Macaca fascicularis: one gene and its partners. The protein of the gene in region 2 interacts with the protein of the main gene of each other region in a pairwise test. Links are inferred from orthologs where the notes say so. Each region holds a gene or a part of one and is shown on either strand. Other genes may lie near its edges. The genes, in order: WDR25, PSME3, EAF1, PRR13, TNFAIP8L1 and EAF2.

Region 1 (2,610 bases), on a different chromosome or scaffold from region 2:
TTGATTGGGCTGAAATCAAGTTGTTGGCAGGGTGTGTTCCCTCTGGAGTGTCAAGGGGAGAATCCCTCCTGGCCTCTTCTGGCTTTTGGTGACAGCCAGCATTCCTGGCTTGTGTCTGCATCTCTCCAGCCCTCCAAGCCAGCGTCTTCACACCACCTTCACTGTGTGTCACATCTCTGCACCTTCCCTTTGTTTCTTTTTTTTTTTTTTTTCTTTTGTAGAGATGGGGGTTTTGCTGTGTTGCCCAGGCTGGTGTTGAACTCCTGGGCTCAAGCGATCCGCCCGTCTCAGCATCCCGAAGTGCTGGGATACAGGCGTGAGCCACCACGCCCAGCCTTGGCTTCCTTTCTGTAAGGCTGCACGTGACTGCATGTAGCGTGACATAGGATCATCTCCTTATCTCAGAATCCTTAATTATGTCTGCAGAGACCCTTGGTTTTGACCCTGTAAGGTAACATTCACAGGTTTCAGGAATTAGAACATGGGTATATTTTGGGGGGCTTTTTCCTGCCTGCCACAGGGACACAGGCAGGTTGTAGAAGCTGGGAAACATGGAGGAAATTTGGGTCCCTCTAGCCTCCAGAAAGAAGTCCAGCCCCGCCAACATCTTGAGTTCAGCCCAGTGAAGCCGCTTTCAGACTTCTGACTTGCAGAACTGTGTGATGTAAAATGTGTGTGTCTTGAGCCACCAAGCTTGTGGCGATTTGTCATGGCAGCGATAGGAAACCAATGGAGACACCCAGCAAGGGTCTGGAAGCAGGCCCCAGGTCTACAGCACCTACTGTGTGCCTGTCTGTGGGAGGGGAAGCTGGAGCGGAGCTTCCCCTCAGAGCAGAGTGCCGGGTAGGGGGTGTCTTCTCCGACCCATTTGTGGCTCTGCTTTTCTCAGGAGAGGTTCACCTGCCCCAGCCTCGCCTTGCACCCGAGAGAGCCCGTGTTCCTGGCACAGACCAATGGCAACTACATGGCCCTTTTCTCCACTGTGTGGCCCTACCGGATGAGCAGACGGCGGCGCTATGAAGGGCACAAGGTACTTCTGTCCTTGTCTCCCAGGCGAATGCTGAGCCCCAGCCCCAAGCCTCCTGGCAGTCCTGGATATGGGCCCCGGGGTGCATGGAGCTTCTGTCTGGGCGGATCCTGCTTTCTGTTTCCTTGGTGAGTGCATGCCATGTGGCCTGCTATCTCTTCAAGTCCCTGAGCCACATCTGGTCCTCACCCCAGGGCCCAGGTACTGGGCAGGAAGCAGTAGTTGGCTCACACAGACAGGTCTCAGAGGTGGGTGGCGGGAACAGGACAGAATGGTCATGGGTGTCATTTCTGCACCCTCCCCTTTCCACAGTGAGGCCAGCCTTGATGGGGTGAAAGGGGCTGGGGGCTGGGTGACTGTCCCTGAGGCCAGACCCCTCAGCTGGGCTGGAGCTGATCTCCCTGGATTTGCTGAACTGGCCTTGGGATGTGAGCCCGCATTAGGGCTCTACAGCCTCATAGGTGGGACTTGGGCTTTGACCTCAGGGAATGGGGTGTGAAGCCCAGCTCTGCTCTGTCAGCTCGGGGCTTCGGCCTGTTCCTCTGTAGAATGGGTGTACTCACCCCAGCTTGACAGGTGCAGCCTACTCACCTGCTGTGTCCCTCTCTGCAGGTGGAGGGCTACTCAGTGGGCTGTGAGTGCTCCCCAGGCGGTGACCTGCTGGTGACGGGCAGCGCCGATGGCCGGGTCCTGATGTACAGCTTCCGCACGGCCAGCCGGGCATGCACACTGCAGGGGCACACGCAGGCCTGTGTCGGCACCACCTACCACCCCGTGCTGCCCTCCGTCCTCGCCACCTGCTCCTGGGGAGGGGACATGAAGATCTGGCACTGAGCTTTGTGTCACTGAACCTTCCCGTTGCCAGCTGGGCTCTGGGACTCCCCTCTTCCTCAAGGGTGTATGAGAGGAATGAGCACAGAGGTTGGCTGTGGGTCCTGGGTACCACCCTCTGAGCCTCAGTTTCCTCATCTGTAAAGTGGGGACAAAAGTCTGTTTGCCTCAGGAGTGTGAGGACTACAATAGTGAAAGTGCCTGGCAGGCGGCCGGCGATGCCTAATAAACGTGTGTTTTGCTATTTGTTAAGTGTTTTCAGCAATAAGTTTGCATTAGCGGCTTCTTCTCACCTCCTTCCTCCCAGGCCTGCTGGAGCTCTGGAGACAGAGAGAACTGTGCGAGCTTGAGATGGGATCATCTCGCTCTGGGGGTCCCAGCAAGGGAGTCCTGAAGTGGGGGTAGTCTGTATCTTTGGTCTGCCCTCAGGGATTCTGTTGGAGCTCAGTGCCCCACCAGACTCACAGGCCCCAGCCGCTTGCACTCCCCAGGACTGTGGCCAGCTGGGCCCCTGGTTGGCCCAAGCCCTGGGCCCCTTGGGCCGCCTCTTTCCCCACCAGTGTGCGTGCTGCACACGCAGGTGTGCTCACCTGCTGAGGGAGCCTCGTGGAGAAGTGAGGGAGGGACCCTTGAGGAGCCTGGAGGAGCTGGGCTGGGAGGAGGCCTGGCTCCCCAGGTGCCTGCACAGGCTGACTAGATGGAAACCCCAACAGAATTGTAACTGAGGGGCCACTGCAGGAGCCCAGGGATCT
Region 2 (3,308 bases):
TCAAACTCCTGACCTCATGTGATCTACCTGCCTCAGCCTCCCACAGTGCTGGCATTACAGGTGTGATCCACCACACCCGGCCTCTTCAGTCCCATTTTATTTTTTTAATTTTAATTTTTATTTGAGGCTGAGTTTCGTTCTTATTGCCCAGGCTGGAGTCCAGAGGCACAATCTCGGCTCACTGCAACCTCCGCCTCCCGGGTTCAAGCAATTCTCCTGCCTCAGCATCCCAAGTAGCTAGGATTACAGGCATGCGCCAATTTTTTTTTGTATTTTTAGTAAAGACAGGGTTTTTCCATGTTGGTCAGGCTGGTCTCGAACTCCTGACCTGAAGTGATATGTCCGCCTCGGCCTCCCAAAGTGCTGATATTACAGGCGTGAGCCACCACACCAGGCCTATTTTTATTTTTATTTTTTTTGAGACGGAGTTTCACTCTTGTTGCCCAGGCTGGAGTGCAATGGCACGCTCTTGGCTCACCGTAAACTCCACTTCCTGGGTTCAAGTGATTCTCCTGCCTCAGCCTCCCAAGTAGCTGGGATTACAGCCATGTGCCACCACGCCCAGCTAATTTTGTATTTTTAGTAGAGACAAGGTTTCACCATGTTGGTCAGGCTGGTCTCAAACTCCTGACCTCAGGTGATCCACCTGGCTTGGCCTCCTGAAGTGCTGGGATTACAGACATGAGCGACTGCACCCAGCCCAGTCCCATTTTATTTTTTTTTTTTATTTTATTTTTTTTTTTGAGACGGAGTCTCACGCTGTTGCCCAGGCTGGAGTGCAGTGGCGTGATCTCGGCTCACTGCAAGCTCCGCCTCCCGGGTTCCCGCCATTCTCCTGCCTCAGCCTCCTGAGTAGCTGGGACTACAGGCGCCCGCCACCGCGCCCGGCTAATTTTTTGTATTTTTAGTAGAGATGGGGTTTCACTGTGGTCTCGATCTCCTGACCTTGTGATCCGCCCGCCTCGGCCTCCCAAAGTGCTGGGATTACAGGCTTGAGCCACCGCGCCCGGCCCCAGTCCCATTTTAAAGAAGAAATTGAAGTTTGAGCTTAAACAATTTGCTCGAGATCACACAATACAGGTAGAGCCTGGTTGCAAACCTAAGTCTGTCTGACTCTAACACCGATATCTTAACCATACTGTACGGCACACCCCTCCTCTCAGGCAGAAAGAAGAGAGAAACCCCGCTAGAGGACTTCATGGTTCTCAACACTCAGTTGATGAACAGAATTTAGTCTACTAATTTTACCTCAGACCTTCATCTCAGCCCTTCAGAGAATTTCAAGAATACTCTCGACAGAACTAAGTGAAGCCACAGCAACTATACAAGGACTGAGGTTACTCACATATTGATTCCTCAGCTCTGATATGATGAGCCGAAGGCTGATATATTCTTTCTCATCAATCTCTGTCACGGTGCGGCGATAGTCCTCCTGCAAGGAGGGTAGAGGAAAAAGCTAGTCCCCAAGGCCCAACTGTTCCCAGATAGCTCCTTCCCAGTAACAGTCACTGTTCACTATCCTGCCACCTCCACCCTCAGGCCACAAACCACTTACTTACCACATGGGGATATTTAGCTATTTTAGAAACCAATTTGGCTCTTGTAATATAATATCTGAAAGGAGAGAGAAGAGGAGGAAGCTGCAGGAGACCCTTGATGGTGCCCACCACCTCATCAGCCCCCAATGCCTCGGCCAAGCCCAAGCAGCCCTACCTAGAAATCTGGTCCAGATAAGATGCAGCTTCACTCTCAACAGTTCTTAGCTCTGCAACTGTTTCCTCCTAAAACAAACAAACAACAGGTGCATCAAAAGCCACTTCCATGACATCCACAGCAGCCCCAAGGAGAAAGGAAAAAAAGCTAACGCAGGGGAGATGAGAGTATCTCCCAAGCCGCTCTTCCCAGTTCGTAATTCAAGTACATTACCTGAATGGACACCCCAAAGTTGTTTCCATCTTCTATCCTGGGAATCAGGAGCTGTACCCACATTTTGACCTGGAGGTCAAAACATATATGAGGACCTTTGCCTGAAGGCTGAAGCCATTAAGTACACAATTCAGACGGCTGGGGCCAGATGCCAGGAACACAGAAGCCAAAATACCTAGTCTGGCCAGGCACAGTGGCTCACACCGGTAATCCCAGCAATTTGGGAGCCTGAAGCGAGTGGATCACCTGAGGTCAGGAGTTCGAGACCAGCCTGGCTAGCCATGGCCAAAATGGTGAAACCCCATCTCTACTAAAAACACAACAAGTAGCCGGGTGTGTTAGCAGGCACCTGTAAACCCAGCTACTCAGGAGGCTGAGGCAGGAGAATCGCTTGAACCCAGGAGGCAGAGGTTGCAGTGAGCCGAGATGGCGCCACTGCACTCCAACCTGGGTGACGGAGCAAGACCCCATCTCAAAAAAAAAAAAAACCACAAAAAAATCTAGTCTGCCAATTCCCATACCACCCGTACATCCACTGTTTCTTGCACTTCACGGGGGGTACTTGGGGCCGGCCCATAGGTCACTAGCCTGTGCCTCACCGTGTTACATTTCTCAATCAACAGCCGGATCTCAGGTTTCACTTTCTCAATAATGTCCACCAGCTGCTGGTTGCTTTTCAGCATCCCATTGGGCATCACAAACACCTTGGTTCCTGGCAGAGATATGAAGGTCAAATGATCAGGGAAGAGGGAAGGACACAGCATCCCGTCTCTCTCTCATTTTTCCTATACCTATCAGATGCTATGACCTCTGCCTTTGTCACAATCCTACCAAGACACCACTATTAGAATCAACGAGAATGTGTGGAACAAAAGAACAACAGATGAGCATCTGAAACATGACAAAAGTCTTAAACCCTCTGTTTATTGGAAAACCAGGTTAAGAGCACTAAATAACAAGCATGTTTGGAGGAGCTGGGAATGCTACCTCTGGGAAGTGAGATCAGATCTTGCCTCCTGGTCGGGAGAACTAGATCCACCTGCTTCTCAGGGTTGCAAGTCAGGGGTGGGGTGAGGAGAGGTAAGGTAAGGGTGCCTCTTACCTTGGAAGGCTTCTTCACACTCATCCAACCTTCGCTTCTTATAAGTGGGCTAAGGATACAAAGAGGCAGGGATGAGCCTTCTTTTGACACCCACATGTCCATCACAAGATACCCTCCAAGCAAGTTTAATCCCTTCCTCAGCCTCATAGTTTGTGTTATTAATTTCTGCACAATTTCCTAAGTACACATAAAGCTTTAAGAAAAGGTTCTTGGGGCTGGGCGCGGTGGCTCAAGCCTGTAATCCCAGCACTTTGGGAGGCCGAGATGGGTGGATCACGAG
Region 3 (4,218 bases), on a different chromosome or scaffold from region 2:
CCATCACCCCCAGCTAATTTTTTTGTATTTTTGGTACAGACGGGGTTTCACCATGTTGCCCAGGCTGGTCTTGAACTCCTGAACTCAAGCTATCTACCCACTTCCACCTCCCAAAGTGCTAAGATTACAAGAATTATTTTTAAATCAAGCACCTGCCTAGCATGAAGTCCACCCCACCCCACTCCCCAAAATTCCTTTTTTCCCTTATGTTGCCACTTTAGAAATCTAAACATTTTTAAAAGTAGGAAGTTTAAATTGCAATAACATAAAAGATGAAGATCCATTGTGATCCTACATTTAAAAAAACAATGAAATAAACTCACAGGGATATGTGGCAGTGTAATTGTGACTTCATCTCCTTTGCCAACTTGAAGCTCTCCTTCACAGGAAGTGTCTATAGATGCTGGTTTAAAATCATCTAAAGGGAAAGGAAAGAAAACACTTACCCACCAGGTTACTTATAATAAGGGCCTCCTGGACATCTCCATTTAAGAATTAAATTTGTTATTACTCAGATGAATGAAAAATAAAAATAATTCAGAATTCTTAAAAACCGGTTTCATTATGGAAAACTTCAGATATACAAAAGTAGAGAAAATCGTACAATGAGCCCTGGTGTACCATTATCCAGTTTCTATTATTACCAACTCAGGGACAATCCTGTTTCATCTACACCTCTACAAACTTTTCCTCTGACCCCCTTTGGATTATTCTAGGGGGAAAAAAGAATTTACAGGCCATTTTATTAAAGATATTCCCTTCTCCCAAGGGAGAGATGAAAATGAAGGTCTCATCATCCATAATAAGTTGCTTTTTTAGGGTTGTGAGGATCAAAAGTAACAGCATATGAAAAAGATCCTGTGACTGTAAACTCTATGAAATACGAAAGGCCACTGCATCATCAAAAGCTGATTTCACTCTGCATAGAAACTGTCAAAATTAGGATTTGCCATACTCAAGTTCCATAGCTGTTTTTTTTCTTTCTTTCTTTCTTTTTAAATAGTGATGGGCCTACGCTGCCCAGGCTGGTCTCAAACTCCTGGGCTCAAGCTATCTGCCCGCCTCGGCCTCCCAAAGTACTGGGATTATCGTGTCAGCCACCACTCTCAGCCAGTTCTGCAGCTTTAACCAAGACAATTCTGTAGTTTATAGCAGACAACTTAACTGTATCTCCACAAGTTATCCTGCTCGTGTTTCTAAACTGCAGTTAGAGTACAACATGAATAGCCATCTTAATTCACATTCACATCTGCCTCAAACTGCAGGGCAGGTGCACACATGAACTGTATGATTTAAATTCCACATTGCCCTTCACCAAAAGAGAACATCAACTTAGTAAACTCTTCAGGAAATGATGTTCTTATCTCATTCCCAATCTCCTCTCTGAAAGAGCTGGATCTGCTGTCAGTAGGAAGCATAGTAATGGCATGGCAAGTGACTACACAAAGATGGGATTTCATTATCTAAGACGCCCTCTTCACATGTGTTGAGTCACATCTATCAGGTCCTCTGACAAAAACAAGTCTTAACAACAGCGTTAGCGCCACGGAAACCAGAAGTTCATGAATCACGGAGGGATGCTCTGTCAGCCAATTCCTAACTGCCAAACCTTCACCCAGGACATAGGGTGGAAGTGCACTCTCAACAGAGTCTATAATCATGTAGAAAAAGGTCCGGCATAATGACTATTTGGCCATTCCTTACGCCTGCTCTCTTCTGCTTCCAAACATAGACCAATCTTTAACCTATCCCAGGCTCACGAACTCTGATTTGACTCTTTACCCACAAGGAACTTGGTCTGGAGGAAAAGCCCGTATGGTATAGGTGACCTCAAAAGACATCCAAGTCAAATGAAGCACAGAAAGGAGATGGAAGAAAACTCTGAGGCGCAGAGAGGATGCCAATTCTTTGGCTGTAAAGGGGACAAAGCGCAGTATCTGGGAGTCCAGAACCAAGTCGGAGGAGGAAAGCAGGGAAGAGAAGGGGTTCGGAGGGAGTGGATGAGGGTCGTAATAAACAAGAAGCGTCTTTTAACTATGGAGAACCCTGATGGGAGCATTGGAAAGGAGGGGAGGGGTTTCGAGGAAGAAGTGGACCCGGATAAGAGGGGGGAGGTTTGCCTTGGGGGAGGGAGGTTTGCCTTAGGGGCGGGAGGTTTGCCTTAGGGGCGGGAGGTTTGCCTTAGGGGCGACGTCGGGGGAGGGGAGGGATGGAACCAAAACGAGGCCAAAGACCTTTGGAACTAGTGTTTGAGACTATAAAGTAGAAGAATAGTAGGGAGTGACGAAGATTTGGGAGAAATAATCTGGGTAAAAGAAGGGCCAACTCGAGGTCCCAAAGGATTGGGGGTTCGAGAGAAAGTAACTGACGCTGGCAGGGGGTTCCCTGGAATCTGAAGGGCCGAGAGAAGAAAGGAAGGAGTCAAGGTTGACATGTGGCGGCTTGAGCGGCCGAAGGGAACCGTGGGGAGCGCTGACTTACAACGAATAGTGTGAAAGGAGGCCCGCGGTCGCTTCTCGAAGCTCTCCCCGAGTCTCAGGCAATGTTCCTCGCGGTCCAGCAGCGGGTTCGCGGTCCCATTCATGGCCCCGCACCGGCCTCGCACCCAGATCGGCGCTCTCCTGGCGCAGCCGCGATCGGAGCTTCCGGCGCTGGCGTCTGGGAGGACTGTGCTCCCGGGACACCGCTCTAGGGGGCAAGGAGAGCAAAGCCGGCACCCACCCGGGTCCAGAAGCAAGTCCTGTTCTCTGCCTCGGGATAAAGGAAGAATCTGAAGGGGCAAGGCCGGGGGACTTCCGGCGTCGGGTAGGAACTTCCGGGTTCCTAGCGGAAGTGGCGGGGGCGGTGCCATGGCGAAAGAACTCCTCCCGGAGATTCCCAATTTGTGATTCTCAGAATTGGCTCAGGGTTGTTTCGCAGTTCCTCCCATATTCTGCCTCCGAGATCTGGGGCTGGCTGTAGGGTGAGTGCGCCTGGCCCTACCCCTACAGGTGAATTTAGGAACTGATGATGGTGATCCCTGAGCGTGGCTGACTAGATTAACGCGGGTAGGCTAGCCATCACGGACGCCCTCCTCAGGGTCCAGGGGCCCATGCGGCCTAGTCTATCCTGAGTGTCCTGAGATGGATCCTCGGGACCTCAGCCACGCGTCACTGGGTCTCTTTCTCCACTTTGCGCAGTGATGGCGGTGCGAGGGCCTCAGTCCCTGAAAAGTGACGTTCCCTCTGGTTCCTACGACAGCCTCTTGTGAGTGCGGTCAGGAAATGAGCCCACCCAGGCTTAGCTTCATTTCCCCCGAAAAAACGGAGCTCCGACCCTTGGAAAACGGTGACCTCACTTGTATCTGGCAATTGACCACCCGCTTCCAGCTAAGTCCATTGTGGTTTTTAAGTCACCCCTTTCGCGGGCACCGAAAATTGAGTAATATTTTCTTCGCAAGGTTTCCCAGTCAGTTCGTGAGAGCGTCCTTTTTTTTCCTAAACTAAATCGATTTATTGTAATAGTTGACTCATCTGGTTTGAATAAAAGTATGGTGCATGAGATAGTCCTGGCCACTGAATGAATTTAAGCCCTCTGAAGTTAGGGACTGTTGTCTTTGTCGTCCTTGTGACCTCTCATATAGCGGGGAGGATTTTTTTTTTGTACAGTCTGCATCTCATAAACATTTGGTGAATTGAACCTGGCGTCTTGAACCGTTCTAGAACCACTAACCAGAATCTCATTCTTTTGTCTGCGAAGCCCCTGTGCTGTTTGAGGCGTGAAACTCACCTGAGGAAATGCATCTGATCCATTAGCATGGATTCATATTATTTGGGGATGGAGAATCTTCAGCTGTGTTAAGTGTTACCTTCAGTTTCTGAGATGACTTCTTTGCCAAGGAAGAGGCTGCAGGCAAGGGTTCTCAGCTCTGAAGAAGAGGAGAAACTGAAAAGAGACCAAACTTTGGTGTCTGATTTTAAACAGCACAAATTGGAACAAGAGGCTCAGAAAAACTGGGATCTTTTTTACAAAAGAAATAGCACTAATTTCTTCAAAGACAGACACTGGACCACCAGAGAGTTTGAGGAGCTAAGATCATGTAGAGAGGTAAGCTAATATTACGCCTTATCTGAGCTGTTCTTAATTTAAAATGTGAAGAGGGCCCAGTGCAGTGGCTCATGCCTGTAATCCCAGTACCTGGGGAGGCCGAGGCAGGCGGATCACGAGGTCAAGAGATTG
Region 4 (4,007 bases), on a different chromosome or scaffold from region 2:
GCAGTGGTGAGATCTGGGCTCACTGCAACCTCCGCCTCCCGGGTTCAAGCAATTCGCCTGCCTCAGCCTCCTGAGTAGCTGGGATTACAGGCATGCGCCACCACACCCAGCTAATAATTCCCAAGTGCTGGGATTACAGGCATGATCCTTACTAATTTTTAACAGTCCTCTAAAACAAAGATACTCAGCCTTGGGGCTGAGTATAAAACCTCCTTAGTCCTAGGCTGTTAGAGGCTGAGTCACTGACTGCTCTTGTCCTCACTTTTTCTGCTGGATGATAGGGCAAAGGGCCCATGTAATTAACACAAGGCCCTAAGAACACTGAAAGAGAGAAAGAACTCCAGGAACTAGGGCCATATTATTATTCTGTTAATTATTATAAGACTTTGCTTTGTCAAAGGAATGACTTTAATTGATGTTTTGATAATGTCAGTGAGGGGGTCCAACTTGCTAGAATATGCACCTGCGGGGAGGGGAGCAAAAGTTCTGGGAGAGAGTAGGGCAGAAAAGATTTGGCTTTTGATTCTAAAAATCTATTTTAAGGCTCACCCTAGCTCCCCCCAGATAGGAGAAGCCTGATGTTTCTTTTCAAGATAATCAGATTCTTCCCAGTAGCAATCTTTTACAAAAAGGAAGAATCATCGACCAGAGTGACACAATCGTCATCCCCCACGTCCACAGAATGTGAATCCCCCTCACCCAACCCCTGCCTACCTAGTCCCTCTGAGGGGGCACCCCTTCCCTAGCCAGGCTCCAGAGGGTACTGACCTTGCCACGCTTGTGGTGCTTGTGGTGCTTGTTCATCTTTTTATGAGCTTTCTTCATTTTCTTCTGCATCTTCTTGTCCACTATCACTGCTGGTCCGACCATGCCAGGAGCCAAGGGATTCACAGGAGGGATTCCAGGGGCAGGAGGTGGGTATGGAGGAGGGTAGGGACCCAAGGGTTGGCATCCTGGATACCCTGGCTGTGGCACAGGATGAGGGGGCCCACCTGGGGGGAAAGCTGGATTGCCCTGGGGAGCTCCTGGGGGAGGAGGACAGGGGCCTGAGGGAAAGAGTGGGTTAATAGGTGGTGGGTGGGCAGGATTGGAACCTCCAGGGCACCCGATGTTGGGGGTATATGGATTTGGCCCTGGCTGCCCTGGGGGAAGAAGCAGATTATAAACATTAGTATTCCCCAGAGTCTCCGACAACAAACAACAAAAAGAAAGAGATTCTTTCTCACCCAATACTTAAAGGGAAATGGAAAAGTGACAAAGGAGAATAGAAGGTAGGGGAGACAAACCTGAGTTGAGGATAAAAGGGGAATGTCCCCGTAAGGGCTGGAGAGAGGAGGGAGACAGTGAACTCTGAGGAAGACAAAAGTACTGGTCAGGCCGGTGGGGCGTGGTGGCTCAAGCCTGTAATCCCAGCAGTTTGGGAGGCCGAGGTGGACAGATCACATGAGGCCAGGAGTTCAAGACCAGCCTGGCCAACATGGTGAAACCCCGTCTCTACTAAAAATACAAAAAGTAGTCGGGCGTGATGGCGCACGCCTGTAATCTCAGCTACTCCAGAGGCTGAAACAGGAGAATCGCTTGAACCCAGGAGGCGGAGGTTGCAGTGAGCCGAGATCGCGCCACTGCACTCCAGCCTGGGCGACAGAGACTCCGTCTCAAAAAATAAATAAATAAAATAAAATAAAAAAGCACTGGTCAGCTGTAGACTAAGGACTTTGCTTTTGCGGGTGTGGCGGGTCGGGGATGGGGCAGCTGATAGAGAAACTTCCTGTTACAGAGTCCATCAGAAAAAGGGTTAGGGGTCGTACAGAACCCCCAAACACCTACCGGCATTGGGATTCCACATGTTTAGGTGTGTCCTCCAGCCTGAGGAGAAAGAAATGAGGCAAAAAAGATGACAGTCTAGAGGTAGGAAGTGGACTTAGCACCGGAGCCCAGCCCTAACGTCTTCCACCCCACAGTAGGCTCTCCCACCTGGAGAACTACCACGACTTCCACATAAGACACATCTCTTTTCTGGCTGGGCGCGGTGGCTCACGCTTGTAATCCCAGCACTTTGGGAGGCCAAGGCGGGTGCATCACGAGGTCAGGAATTCGACACCAGCCTGGCCAACATCGTTAAACCCCGTCTCTACTAAAAATCTAAAAATTAGCCGGGCGCGGTGGCGGGCGCCTGTAATCCCAGTTACTCGGGAGGCTGAGGCAGGAGAATCGCTTGAACCTGGGAGGCGGAGGTTACAGTGAGCTGAGATCGCGCCACTGCACTCTAGCCTGGGCAACAGAGCGAGACACCGCCTCGAAAAAAAAAAAAAGAAAGAAATGTCTCTTTCCACTTGTTTCTTCGCCCTCAATACCTACTTGGTTCCTAACACAGGAATCTAGTTCCCAGGGCCCCTCCACCTAGGTTGAAGCGTCTAACTCTTCGCAAGAGGGCATAGCCCGCGAGTCTCGGCACCCCCATCATTCATCCCCCTTTCCTGGAACTGAGTCCGGAGGCCTTTAACCACCCACAGAGTAAGAAAGGATCTCAAACAACTTTCTCCCTGGGGAGGACCTCACCTCAGGCTAAGAAAAGGATACGCCTGGAGGCGAAGAAGGAAGTTGCTCAAGAACCTCAAATACTTAAATAAATGGACACAGCCCAATTCCTCCAAAAAAGAAAAAAGGCAAATGAAGATCCTAGCCCCAAGCTGCGAAGGGGCTCTTAACCCAGCAATGGGAAAAGGAATAAACCCATGGAATTCAGATACCACGTCACCTTTCCACCGCCGCCTGGACTTGATGCGTTCTTCGCAGTCTCGGCTCTTACTTCCTAGTCACACCTAGTCACCCAGACCCCGTGCTTCGGTACCCGCCTCTGCTACTGCCTAATTGGTAATTATGTGGCCACTCGGCTGATGATTGGACAACAAACTAATCAATCACTCTGGTCCAACTGAGGAGGAAACGGTTGCTCTAGCTGCAGACCGGAGCCCTTTACGACTAGGCAAGTACTGAGAAGCCGGAAATCTCCTGGGGGCGGAGCTAGGCGGAGAGCGCTAGAGGGGGCGGGGCCAGCTGCTGGGCAAAGTCCTAGAGACACCGAGAAGAAACTCTGCCCTTGCTCTCTGCTAGTCATGGTTCACTGGGTGCAATACCTTGTAAAGTGAATACACTATGGTAAGTGTTGTAATACAGATATAGACAGAGTTCTCGGCAAGGGCAGAGGAGCTGCTGAGTCCTAGCCCCAAGCCTCAATGTTCTCGGCTCCCTCTTACACTCGCAAGGGAAGCAAACAAACATTCTTGCGGAAAATACAGAGATTTCATAATCTCTCCCAGGATTCCCTCTCTCAATTGCATAGCTCCGCCATCTGTCAAGAAGCCTAAACCAGAAACCAAGGAGGTCTTCCGTGATCCCTCTGTCTCCTTCACCTCCCTTACCCCAAATTACCAGTTTTGTCTCACAAATACATCTGGAATCTCTCCACTTCTCTCCGTCTTCCCTGGTCTAAACCTCCCATCATCTCTCGCCTGGATTCATTTCTCCCCTGAATTGCTACAATGGCCTCTTTTTTTTTTTTTTTTTTTTTTTTTTTTTTTTTTTTTTTTTGAGACGGAGTCTCGCTCTGTTGCCAGGCTGGAGTGCAGTGGTGCGACCTCAGCTCACTGCAACTTCCGCTTCCCGCGTTCAAGCGATTCTTCTGCCTCAGCCTCCCGAGTAGCTGGGACTACAGGCGCGGCTAATTTTTGTATTTCTTAGTAGAGATGGGGTTTCACCATGTTGGCCAGGATGGTCTCCATCTCTTGACTTCGTGATCTGCCTGCCTCGGCCTCCCAAAGTGCTGGGATTACAGGCGTGAGCCACCGCGCCCAGACTTTTTTTTTTTTTTTTTAAAGAAAACAATACAAGTGGCCAGGTACATTGGCTCATGCCTGTAATCCAAGCACTTTGGGAAGCCGAGGCGGGCGGATCACGAGGTCAGGAGTTCGAGACCAGCCTGGCCAATATGGTAAAACCCCGTTTCT
Region 5 (4,297 bases), on a different chromosome or scaffold from region 2:
CCAGGCTGGTCTCGAATTCCTCACCTCAGGTGATCCGCCCGCCTCGGCCTCCCAACGTGCTGGGATTACAGGCGTGAGCCATGGCGCCCAGCCAATTCTCTTCTTTTTCTTTAAGACAGGGTCTCACTCCTGTCACCCAGGCTGGAGCGCAGTGGTGTGATCTCGGCTCACTGCAGCCTCAACCTCCCTGGGCTCAGGTGATCCTCCCACCTCAGCCTCCAGAGTGGCTGGGACTACAGGCCCGCGCCACCACACCTGGCTAATTTTTTCTTTTTCTTTGTTTTCAGTAGAGACAGGGTTTCACCATGTTGCCCAGGCTGGGAAATTCTCTAGATGGACCTGCAAGGTTTTGGTTATGGGGAAACTGAGTCAGAGAGGGTCACGAGCTTATAAAGCAGTGATGTGGCAGAATCAGAATTTGAACCCAGCCTTTAACCTAGCGCAATCCTTTCCCCATCCTAGTCCACAGCACATTTGAGGTTCAAGTCTCCTCTCTCCCAGAGCTCACCCCAGAGGGGAAGGATGGAAGCCTTAGGAAGCTTCTAGAAGCACTGTGTCCTGTAATCCCCTCCTCGGGCCTTTGACAATGTCTTGCTGAATCACCCCCACCCCTCAAAGCACCCTCCCTCCCCCCAGTTATCTCAGCCCCTTTCCACAAGAAAAAGGAGATGACCAGCCCCATTGGACAGATGGGGAAACTGAGGCCTAGAAGCTGGGAATTTACAAGATCCCAGGAACTCTGCCAGAGGTCCCTGCGTCAAAGCTCGGGTGGGTGTGATTCCAGGGAAGTTGTCTGCTGAGGGGTGTCGGGGGATGCTGGGAAGGGGCAGGCAGGCTGTGGAACCAGGCGGTTCCTCCCTCTCGATCTGCCTCCTCGCGCCCCTCCCTGTCTGTAACACCTGAGGCTGTACCTGGGCAAGTGTGAGTCATTTTTTAGCGCTGACGTCTCTCTGGGAGAAGTGTTTCCCCGTCAATGGCTGGAGTTTTATCCTCAAGGCACCCTTTCGTGGCCCCATTGGACAGACAGGGACACTGAGTCCTCTGGAACCCACCATACTGAATTGTCAGGCAATCAAAGGACCCCTCGCCCACCTGGGCTGACCCCTGGAGGAACGGGGACGAGGAAACTGAGGTTCTGGGGGCACCTGACAGTTGGCCCAAGGCCACACAGAGGGAGGGGCACACGGCGGGGCCTCAGACCTGCACCCGTCTGCAGAGCCGCTTCCTTTAGGGACCCCCTGGTACCCCACGATTAGAGCAGGATTCAAGTCCCCTCCAGCCCATAGTCCCCCCAGGGGTCTAAGCACTCACCCGCCACCTGTGTCCCAGGCTGCTCCAGCCTCTGGCCAGTTCCCAATTCACCCAGGTGTTTGTGTGGCTGGAGACAGCCCTTTGTTCACTGTTTCCATAGGTACAGCGTCCCTGAACGGCCCCTCCTCTGCCCCTCCCAGCCCTTGCCTATGCAGGTCCTGGGCCGGCCCATACAGGGAGCTTGTTATGTTTCAAAGTTGGCGCCCTCGGACCTGCCGTGGTGGCAGAGGGCATAGCCCATGCAAAGGCCCTGAGGCAGGACCTCGCCTGGGGTGCTGGAGGAACAGGAGGAGGCCAGTGCGACTGGGGCAGAGCCACGGCGAGGGTCAGGGGGGTTACAAGCAGGGCCTGTATTCCTGCACCTGATCCCCCAGCAGTCGTAATTCGGTGAGTTACGACCCACTCCTGTTTTACAGATGAGGAAACAGGCTCAGCAGAATTGAAAAACTGGTTCAAGGTACCATGCGGGTGGCAGAGTTCAAATCTAGATTTGCCCAAGCTCCGCCACGACTGGGCTGACCCCACTGGGACCTCCCGAGGCGTTCACCGCCCCCAGCTGAGCTGGGACTGGCTCAGGAAAGAACCTCTGGTAGCCTGTTTACACCTAGAGCTGCTCCTCCCCCAGCCCTTCCCCCCACCATAGAGAAGGTGCTGGAAAATGTGAGGATGCAGAGAAAACAGATTCTGTCCTTCCTGTGTCCCCACCTCCCTGGCCAAACATTGGAAGCATTGGCCTCTTTCTAGGCCTTAGTTTACCATCCCAGGAAATGGACCTAGTTCGACTTCACAGAAAAGGCCAGGAGGCGACAGACGTCCTTCAGATCACCTGCCAATTACCTTGGCAGCGACGGTCCCAGTTCACAGCTGGCAAAACTGAGGCCACGGCCCCACAGGCCACTTGGGAGTTCGTTAGGGGCCAGTCCGGGTGGGCCTGGGCGGGCCTAGGCCTGGCTCCCCGCCACCGATGCCTGGTTTAGCCAGAAGCTACAGTCAAAGCTACAGTCATGCCCACCTCCGCATGGCTGGCCCAGCTGCCCACCTCCTGGAATGCCCTCGGGGTTCTGGAATCTGTCCTGAGCACCTGTGGCCCTGCAGTTAAAGGGGGCAGAGTCCACTAGATTCCACGGAGGGGTGGGGGTGCTGGTCCCAAGCAGAGCCCCACGCCAAGGGGGGCAATTGAGACTCAACCTGTCTCTCCCTAACCTATACAGCAAGAGGGACAGAGAGACAGAGGGAAACTGAGGCAGGAATGCAGACGGACAGGCGGCGGGGTGCAGAAGCATTACCGGGCGGGAGAGACAGGGCGGCCAGGTGGTCCCCGGGATGCGCTGAAATAGGGGGCGCCCCGGCACTTCTCGCTCACCTGCTCTCGGAGCAGAGTCCGTGCGTCCAACCGTCGGGGGTCAGTCCAGCCGCCTCCGTGGGCTGGGGCCGTTGCCGCGGCAGTGGGAGCAGCGCCGGAGCGGGGCCGGGGCCGGGGCGGGGCGGCAGCGCGGCCCCGCCCTCCACTTGCCTCGCCCCTCGGCAGGACACGCCCTCCACTCGCCCCGCCCGCAGGAAGGGACCGGAGAGTTGCCAGGCATGGAGGGCGGGCCGAGCGCTTCGGATTAGCCAATGACAGGGGGGCAATGTACGAAGAGGCCAATGGAAGCAGGGCACTGCGACGGGAGGAGGTGGGGGAAGGGGCGGAGCCTGGGGCGGGGTCAGGCGGGTCTGGGGGATTCCTCCGGAATAGCTAAGGGGCCCGGATGCGGGGGCGAGGCCGTAGTCGGGGCGCCGGCCACAGAAAAGGGAAAAGATAAGAGTATGAGACAGACGGAGAACCTGGGGAGGGAGGCACAGAGGCACCAACAGGAAGAGACCGGAGAGCCAAAAGGCAAAACAGAGCAACCACGTGGTTCTGCACGGGCCCCTTCCTCCTTCTGGGGCTCAGTTTACCCACCTGGGTAATAGGAATTTCGGCAGAAGCATGTTTCTCAAAGTTCGGCCTCGGGGAACCTTTCGCGTCAGAGAGGCAATGTAAAAATGCATTGGGCGCGGTGGCTCACGCCTGTAATCCCAGCACTTCGGTAGGCCGAGGCGGGCAGATCACGAGGTCAGCAGATCGAGACCATCCCGGCTAACACGGTGAAAGCCCGTCTCTACTAAAAATACAATAAATTGGCCGGGCGCGGTGGCTCAAGCCTGTAATCCCAGCACTTTGGGAGGCCGAGACGGGCGGATCACTAGGTCAGGAGATCGAGACCATCCTGGCGAACACGGTGAAACCCCGTCTCTACTAAAAAATACAAAAAACTAGCCGGGCGAGGCGGCGGGCGCCTGTAGTCCCAGCTACTCGGGAGGCTGAGGCAGGAGAATGGCGTAAACCCGGGGGGCGGAGCTTGCAGTGAGCTGAGATCCGGCCACTGCACTCCAGCCCGGGCGACAGAGCCAGACTCCGTCTCAAAAAAAAAAAAATTAAATTTAAAAAAAAAAATTAGCTGGGCGTGGTGGCGGCGCCTGTAGTCCCAGCTACTCAGGAGGCTGAGGCAGAAGAATGGCGTGAACCCGGGAGGCGGAGCTTACAGTGAGCCGAGATCGCGCCACTGCACTCCAGCCTGGGCGACAGAGCGAGACCGTCTCAAAAAAAAAAAAAAAAAATGCAGGTTCCTACTAGGCGTGGTGCCTCACACCTGGAATCCCAGACCTTTGGGAGGCCAACGCAGGAGGATCCCTTCAGCCCAGGAGTTTGAAACCAGCCCAGGCAACATAGGGAGACCCTGTCTCTACAAAAAAAGAACAAAAGAAGTTAAAAATTTAAAAATACAGATTTCTGTGCCACTAGAAGGGATGAATGTAACCCAGGGTTGTGGGGCTAAGATCAATCTTTGGGGTGAGGTGGAGGACGCCTGGAGACACCATCAGAGGATCGCCAAATCCAGCCTCAATTTCCATAGGAATGAGCCTGCAGGACACACAGGAGCTCCCCGGCTGCGCAGCGCCAGCT
Region 6 (3,500 bases), on a different chromosome or scaffold from region 2:
TTTGCCTCTCCCATTTCCAGTCACCAAATCCTGTCAGTTCTTCCTTCAAAGAGTCTTTAGAACCTCACTTTTCTCTTCATTTCTGCTCTCAAAAAATCCTGGTTTATACATTTTTCTGATTCCTGCATTGTTTCATTTACTCAGCTTTTCTACTGAATTAATGTTTTAAAACAAAACTGTAAACATGCCAATCCCTGGTTAAAAAGACTTTAATATGCAACCACTACCAGCAAGATAATGTCCTAATTTCTTAGTTAATATTGATGGCACTAACCTCAACCAACGAAATTACAAACTTACCTCTAGCCCAATATCAATATCGCCCCCTACTTTCCAAAATATATACACGGGTACAGAGACAAACCTCTGCTCCGTTCAAATAGGTCTTACTCATTGGCCCTGAATAAGTCAGATACATTCCTGCCTTCAAACTTGGCTTACACCCTCATCTCCTCTCTAATCAATTAAATCGTATTTCACAAACTTTCTTCTGGTGTGAATCACAGCAGGGCATAGATGGTAGAGGTGAGGGGATATTAAAAAATAGAGTTTCCCAGGATCCTTCCCTGATTTAAGGCTGGATTCAGGAACTAATTTTTAACAAGCACCCAAGGTAATTCTTATGATCCTAACCTCCCCTTATGGTACCTCAAAAAGGCCTCCCTGAATGTTCCGATCTACCATTACTTCTCCTTTTTCTTAATTCCTAGAGCAATTTTTGTCTATACTATTTGCATGGCTTTTAGAGCAAACATCCTTATATTACATGGTAAGTAATGTCTCACCTATTTCCAAAAAGGATTTGAGATGGGTATATTCTCCTATTGACTTTTTAAATGGAATGGTCTGTTTACCTGAATAAAACGCAGAAGTTCTGAGGCGTTTGCAGAGCAAACTTTCCTTTTTCTAGTACCTTACACAGCATAGGTACTCAATAAATTTTTACTAATGAAGATGAAATTATTTTAGAGAATGTATAATGGCTCCCTTCAATCCAGTTATACAGAAGTATCTACAATAGGATAAAAAGTATACCTATACCTATAGAAAGCACTTAGAAGCAAAACAAGCTTTTATATATCACAGGGTGATGTGGTAAAAAGCTTTTGGCTTAGGATCTCCATCAAATTTTTTTTTTTTTTTTTTGAGATGGAGTCTTGCTCTGTCGCCCAGGCTGGAGTGTAGCGGCCGGATCTCAGCTCACTGCAAGCTCCGCCTCCCGGGTTTACACCATTCTGCCTCAGCCTCCTGAGTAGCTGGGTCTACAGGCGCCCGCCACCAAACTTAAACTTAGAAAAAGATTAAAACATTTTTGTACCACACATAAATAAACCTTATATTATAATGTTACTTAATATAGTAAATTTTTTCCTGACATTTCCTTAGAAATTAATGTTTATAATATAATTTATTTCATTAAACCACATACCTTGTTTTTTTTACAGTGATGTTGCTGCTGAGTTTTTCTAGTCGACATTCTCCGGTATCATGGTTAATAATCAAAATGCATTCTTTTAAGTAAGGTTTTTTTGAACCTTTGAAAACAGTTACTGGTGGAGTTGAACCCTGTTTAAAAAGTTAATTATTATTACTTAAAATTTATCATAGGAATTCAGTTGGGAAGGCCTTTGAAATCTTGATTCTGTGTTTCTCCTTCTATGTTATACTTCAAGTCACCCATAAACTACCTAAATTTACTACCCTGAATCCAAAGAGTGTAGTAAAAAAGACAGATGAAGATAGGCTGAAATCTCAAAGCTGCTGTCATTGAGGAAAGGGAAGAGAGGAAGTACTCACCTTGGGACCGTAAATATTCGTTTCACTGGCCTATAACGAGCAATTGAGATTCAATTCTAATACAACCAATATATTTTATGAATAAGGAAACAGAGCTTTGAATCATACTTTCTAGTCCTCTTTTTTTTTTTTTTTTTTTTTTTTTTTTTTTTTTGAGACAGAGTCTTGGTCTGTTGCCTGGGCTAGAGTGCAGTGGCACGATCTCTGCTCACTGTAACCTCCACCTCCCGGGTTGAAGTGATTCTCCTGCCTCAGCCTCCAGAGTAGCTGGGACTATAGGCATGGACAACCACGCCCAGCTAATTTTTCTATTTTTAGTAGAGACGGGGTTTCACCATGTTGGTCAAGCTGGTCTCGAACTCCTGACCTCAAGCGATCTCAGTCTACCAAAGTGCTGTGATTACAGACATGAGCCACTGTGCCCAGCCTCCTCATCTTCTTTCTTATTGCATTGTAAGTTTAATTTTTAAAATCTTGCATTTTCTTAAAGTAGTACCTCCCCATGCATATTAAGGAACACCTTTTACACTAAACCACTAATTAATTTTAGCATCCTTAAAGGTAAGATAAGCAGACATTATGTGCTTAATGATGTAATATAAAAGTACTCAGTGCCATCCATAAAATACTCTTGCCCAAAACCACACAAAAACCCCAAAGAATTTAATTCTTATCAAACCCCAAATAATCCGTAATCCAGCCTGCCCTTAGATATATAACTACCATTTCATAGAAAACAGAAGGAATAGAGGAACAAGATAAATACATCCATATAGAAGTAATTTGAAGTCCAGAATGTAGGTGTATTCTCTTGGACAGATAATACGGTTTTTCCAACAAACCAATGGCATAAAAAGGGAATGAGAACCAGGTGCAGGCACTGTAGTACCAGCTACTTGTGGAGGATGAGTGCTGAAGCAGGAGGACAGCTTGAAGCCAGGAGTTCTAGGCTTTAGTGTAACATAATCACACCCGTGAATAGCCACTGCACTCTCACCTGGGCAACACAGTGAGACCCTGCCTCTAAAAAGGATAAATTTAAAAAGGGGTGTAGAGAAAAGGAAGGGACTTTTAAAGAATAAAAGAGACAAGAAATATAGTATTCAAATACAATGTAGAAATCTTTTTTGGATTCTAGTTAGGACATTTTACAGACAAATGTCTGTAAAAACATGTTTTTGATATCATCACAAAATTGTGACTGTGGATGAAGTATTATTATTAATTATGTTATTTGTGACAATAGCATGGTGCTTAGATAAAGGTAGAAATGTCCTTATCAGTTAGAGATACAGAAGTAAGCATTGATGAAATGGTGCATTGTCTGGGATTTGCTATAAAATATGCCAAGGGAAAAAAGTGGTAAGACACTAGATTAAAAAATATATATTAGCAAAATGTTGGTAATTGTTAAAGCTCAGTGATGGGTACATGTCATTCATTATACTATTCTGTTGGCCATAAAATAAACCTGGATCATTACTAATAAACTACATCTACTTACATGCTCCTCCCATATCTTTTGTCCCTGCCCCATCAAACCTGAAAGAATTTTATGTTTGTCATTCTTTTGCTTTATCCTACATATATGTATTTCTAAACAATTATTTGTGTATGTTTGTCTTTGAAGTTTATAAAAGTACATTAAATTTTAATGGATTTATCATAATAATTTTGTCAAATATTACAAAAATAATAAAATA

The links.
Region 1: the proteins of PSME3 (region 2) and WDR25 interact in binary tests that used the Homo sapiens proteins (3 or more experiments, as listed by UniProt). The two-hybrid records come from large-scale screens. The link is inferred for Macaca fascicularis from reciprocal best matches to the Homo sapiens genes PSME3 and WDR25.
Region 3: the proteins of PSME3 (region 2) and EAF1 interact in binary tests that used the Homo sapiens proteins (3 or more experiments, as listed by UniProt). The two-hybrid records come from large-scale screens. The link is inferred for Macaca fascicularis from reciprocal best matches to the Homo sapiens genes PSME3 and EAF1.
Region 4: the proteins of PSME3 (region 2) and PRR13 interact in binary tests that used the Homo sapiens proteins (3 or more experiments, as listed by UniProt). The two-hybrid records come from large-scale screens. The link is inferred for Macaca fascicularis from reciprocal best matches to the Homo sapiens genes PSME3 and PRR13.
Region 5: the proteins of PSME3 (region 2) and TNFAIP8L1 interact in binary tests that used the Homo sapiens proteins (3 or more experiments, as listed by UniProt). The two-hybrid records come from large-scale screens. The link is inferred for Macaca fascicularis from reciprocal best matches to the Homo sapiens genes PSME3 and TNFAIP8L1.
Region 6: the proteins of PSME3 (region 2) and EAF2 interact in binary tests that used the Homo sapiens proteins (3 or more experiments, as listed by UniProt). The two-hybrid records come from large-scale screens. The link is inferred for Macaca fascicularis from reciprocal best matches to the Homo sapiens genes PSME3 and EAF2.

What each region holds. Positions count from the first base shown.
Region 1 is NC_088381.1:168,621,259-168,623,868, forward strand, and holds the end of WDR25 (WD repeat-containing protein 25), read left to right. Parts: intron 1-889; coding exon 890-1,030; intron 1,031-1,639; coding exon 1,640-1,861; 3' UTR 1,862-2,110; downstream 2,111-2,610.
Region 2 is NC_088390.1:63,893,856-63,897,163, reverse strand, and holds part of PSME3 (proteasome activator complex subunit 3), read right to left. Parts: intron 3,078-3,308; coding exon 3,029-3,077; intron 2,639-3,028; coding exon 2,526-2,638; intron 1,996-2,525; coding exon 1,927-1,995; intron 1,782-1,926; coding exon 1,714-1,781; intron 1,615-1,713; coding exon 1,560-1,614; intron 1,433-1,559; coding exon 1,346-1,432; intron 1-1,345. UniProt on the Homo sapiens protein: Subunit of the 11S REG-gamma (also called PA28-gamma) proteasome regulator, a doughnut-shaped homoheptamer which associates with the proteasome. 11S REG-gamma activates the trypsin-like catalytic subunit of the proteasome but inhibits the chymotrypsin-like and postglutamyl-preferring (PGPH) subunits.
Region 3 is NC_088376.1:32,924,052-32,928,269, forward strand, and holds the start of EAF1 (ELL-associated factor 1), read right to left. Parts: upstream 2,801-4,218; 5' UTR 2,585-2,800; coding exon 2,482-2,584; exon of another isoform or gene 2,245-2,481; intron 419-2,244; coding exon 324-418; intron 1-323. Other genes in the region: tRNA N(3)-cytidine methyltransferase METTL6, read left to right, coding at 3,862-4,086. UniProt on the Homo sapiens protein: Acts as a transcriptional transactivator of ELL and ELL2 elongation activities.
Region 4 is NC_088385.1:60,246,428-60,250,434, reverse strand, and holds the start of PRR13 (proline-rich protein 13), read right to left. Parts: upstream 2,801-4,007; 5' UTR 2,759-2,800; intron 2,649-2,758; 5' UTR 2,560-2,648; intron 1,867-2,559; 5' UTR 1,847-1,866; coding exon 1,828-1,846; intron 1,143-1,827; coding exon 769-1,142; intron 1-768. UniProt on the Homo sapiens protein: Negatively regulates TSP1 expression at the level of transcription. This down-regulation was shown to reduce taxane-induced apoptosis.
Region 5 is NC_088393.1:5,401,429-5,405,725, reverse strand, and holds the start of TNFAIP8L1 (tumor necrosis factor alpha-induced protein 8-like protein 1), read right to left. Parts: upstream 2,801-4,297; 5' UTR 2,675-2,800; intron 1,361-2,674; exon of another isoform or gene 1,312-1,360; intron 1-1,311. UniProt on the Homo sapiens protein: Acts as a negative regulator of mTOR activity.
Region 6 is NC_088376.1:161,387,226-161,390,725, forward strand, and holds part of EAF2 (ELL-associated factor 2), read right to left. Parts: intron 1,567-3,500; coding exon 1,430-1,566; intron 1-1,429. UniProt on the Homo sapiens protein: Acts as a transcriptional transactivator of TCEA1 elongation activity. Acts as a transcriptional transactivator of ELL and ELL2 elongation activities. Potent inducer of apoptosis in prostatic and non-prostatic cell lines.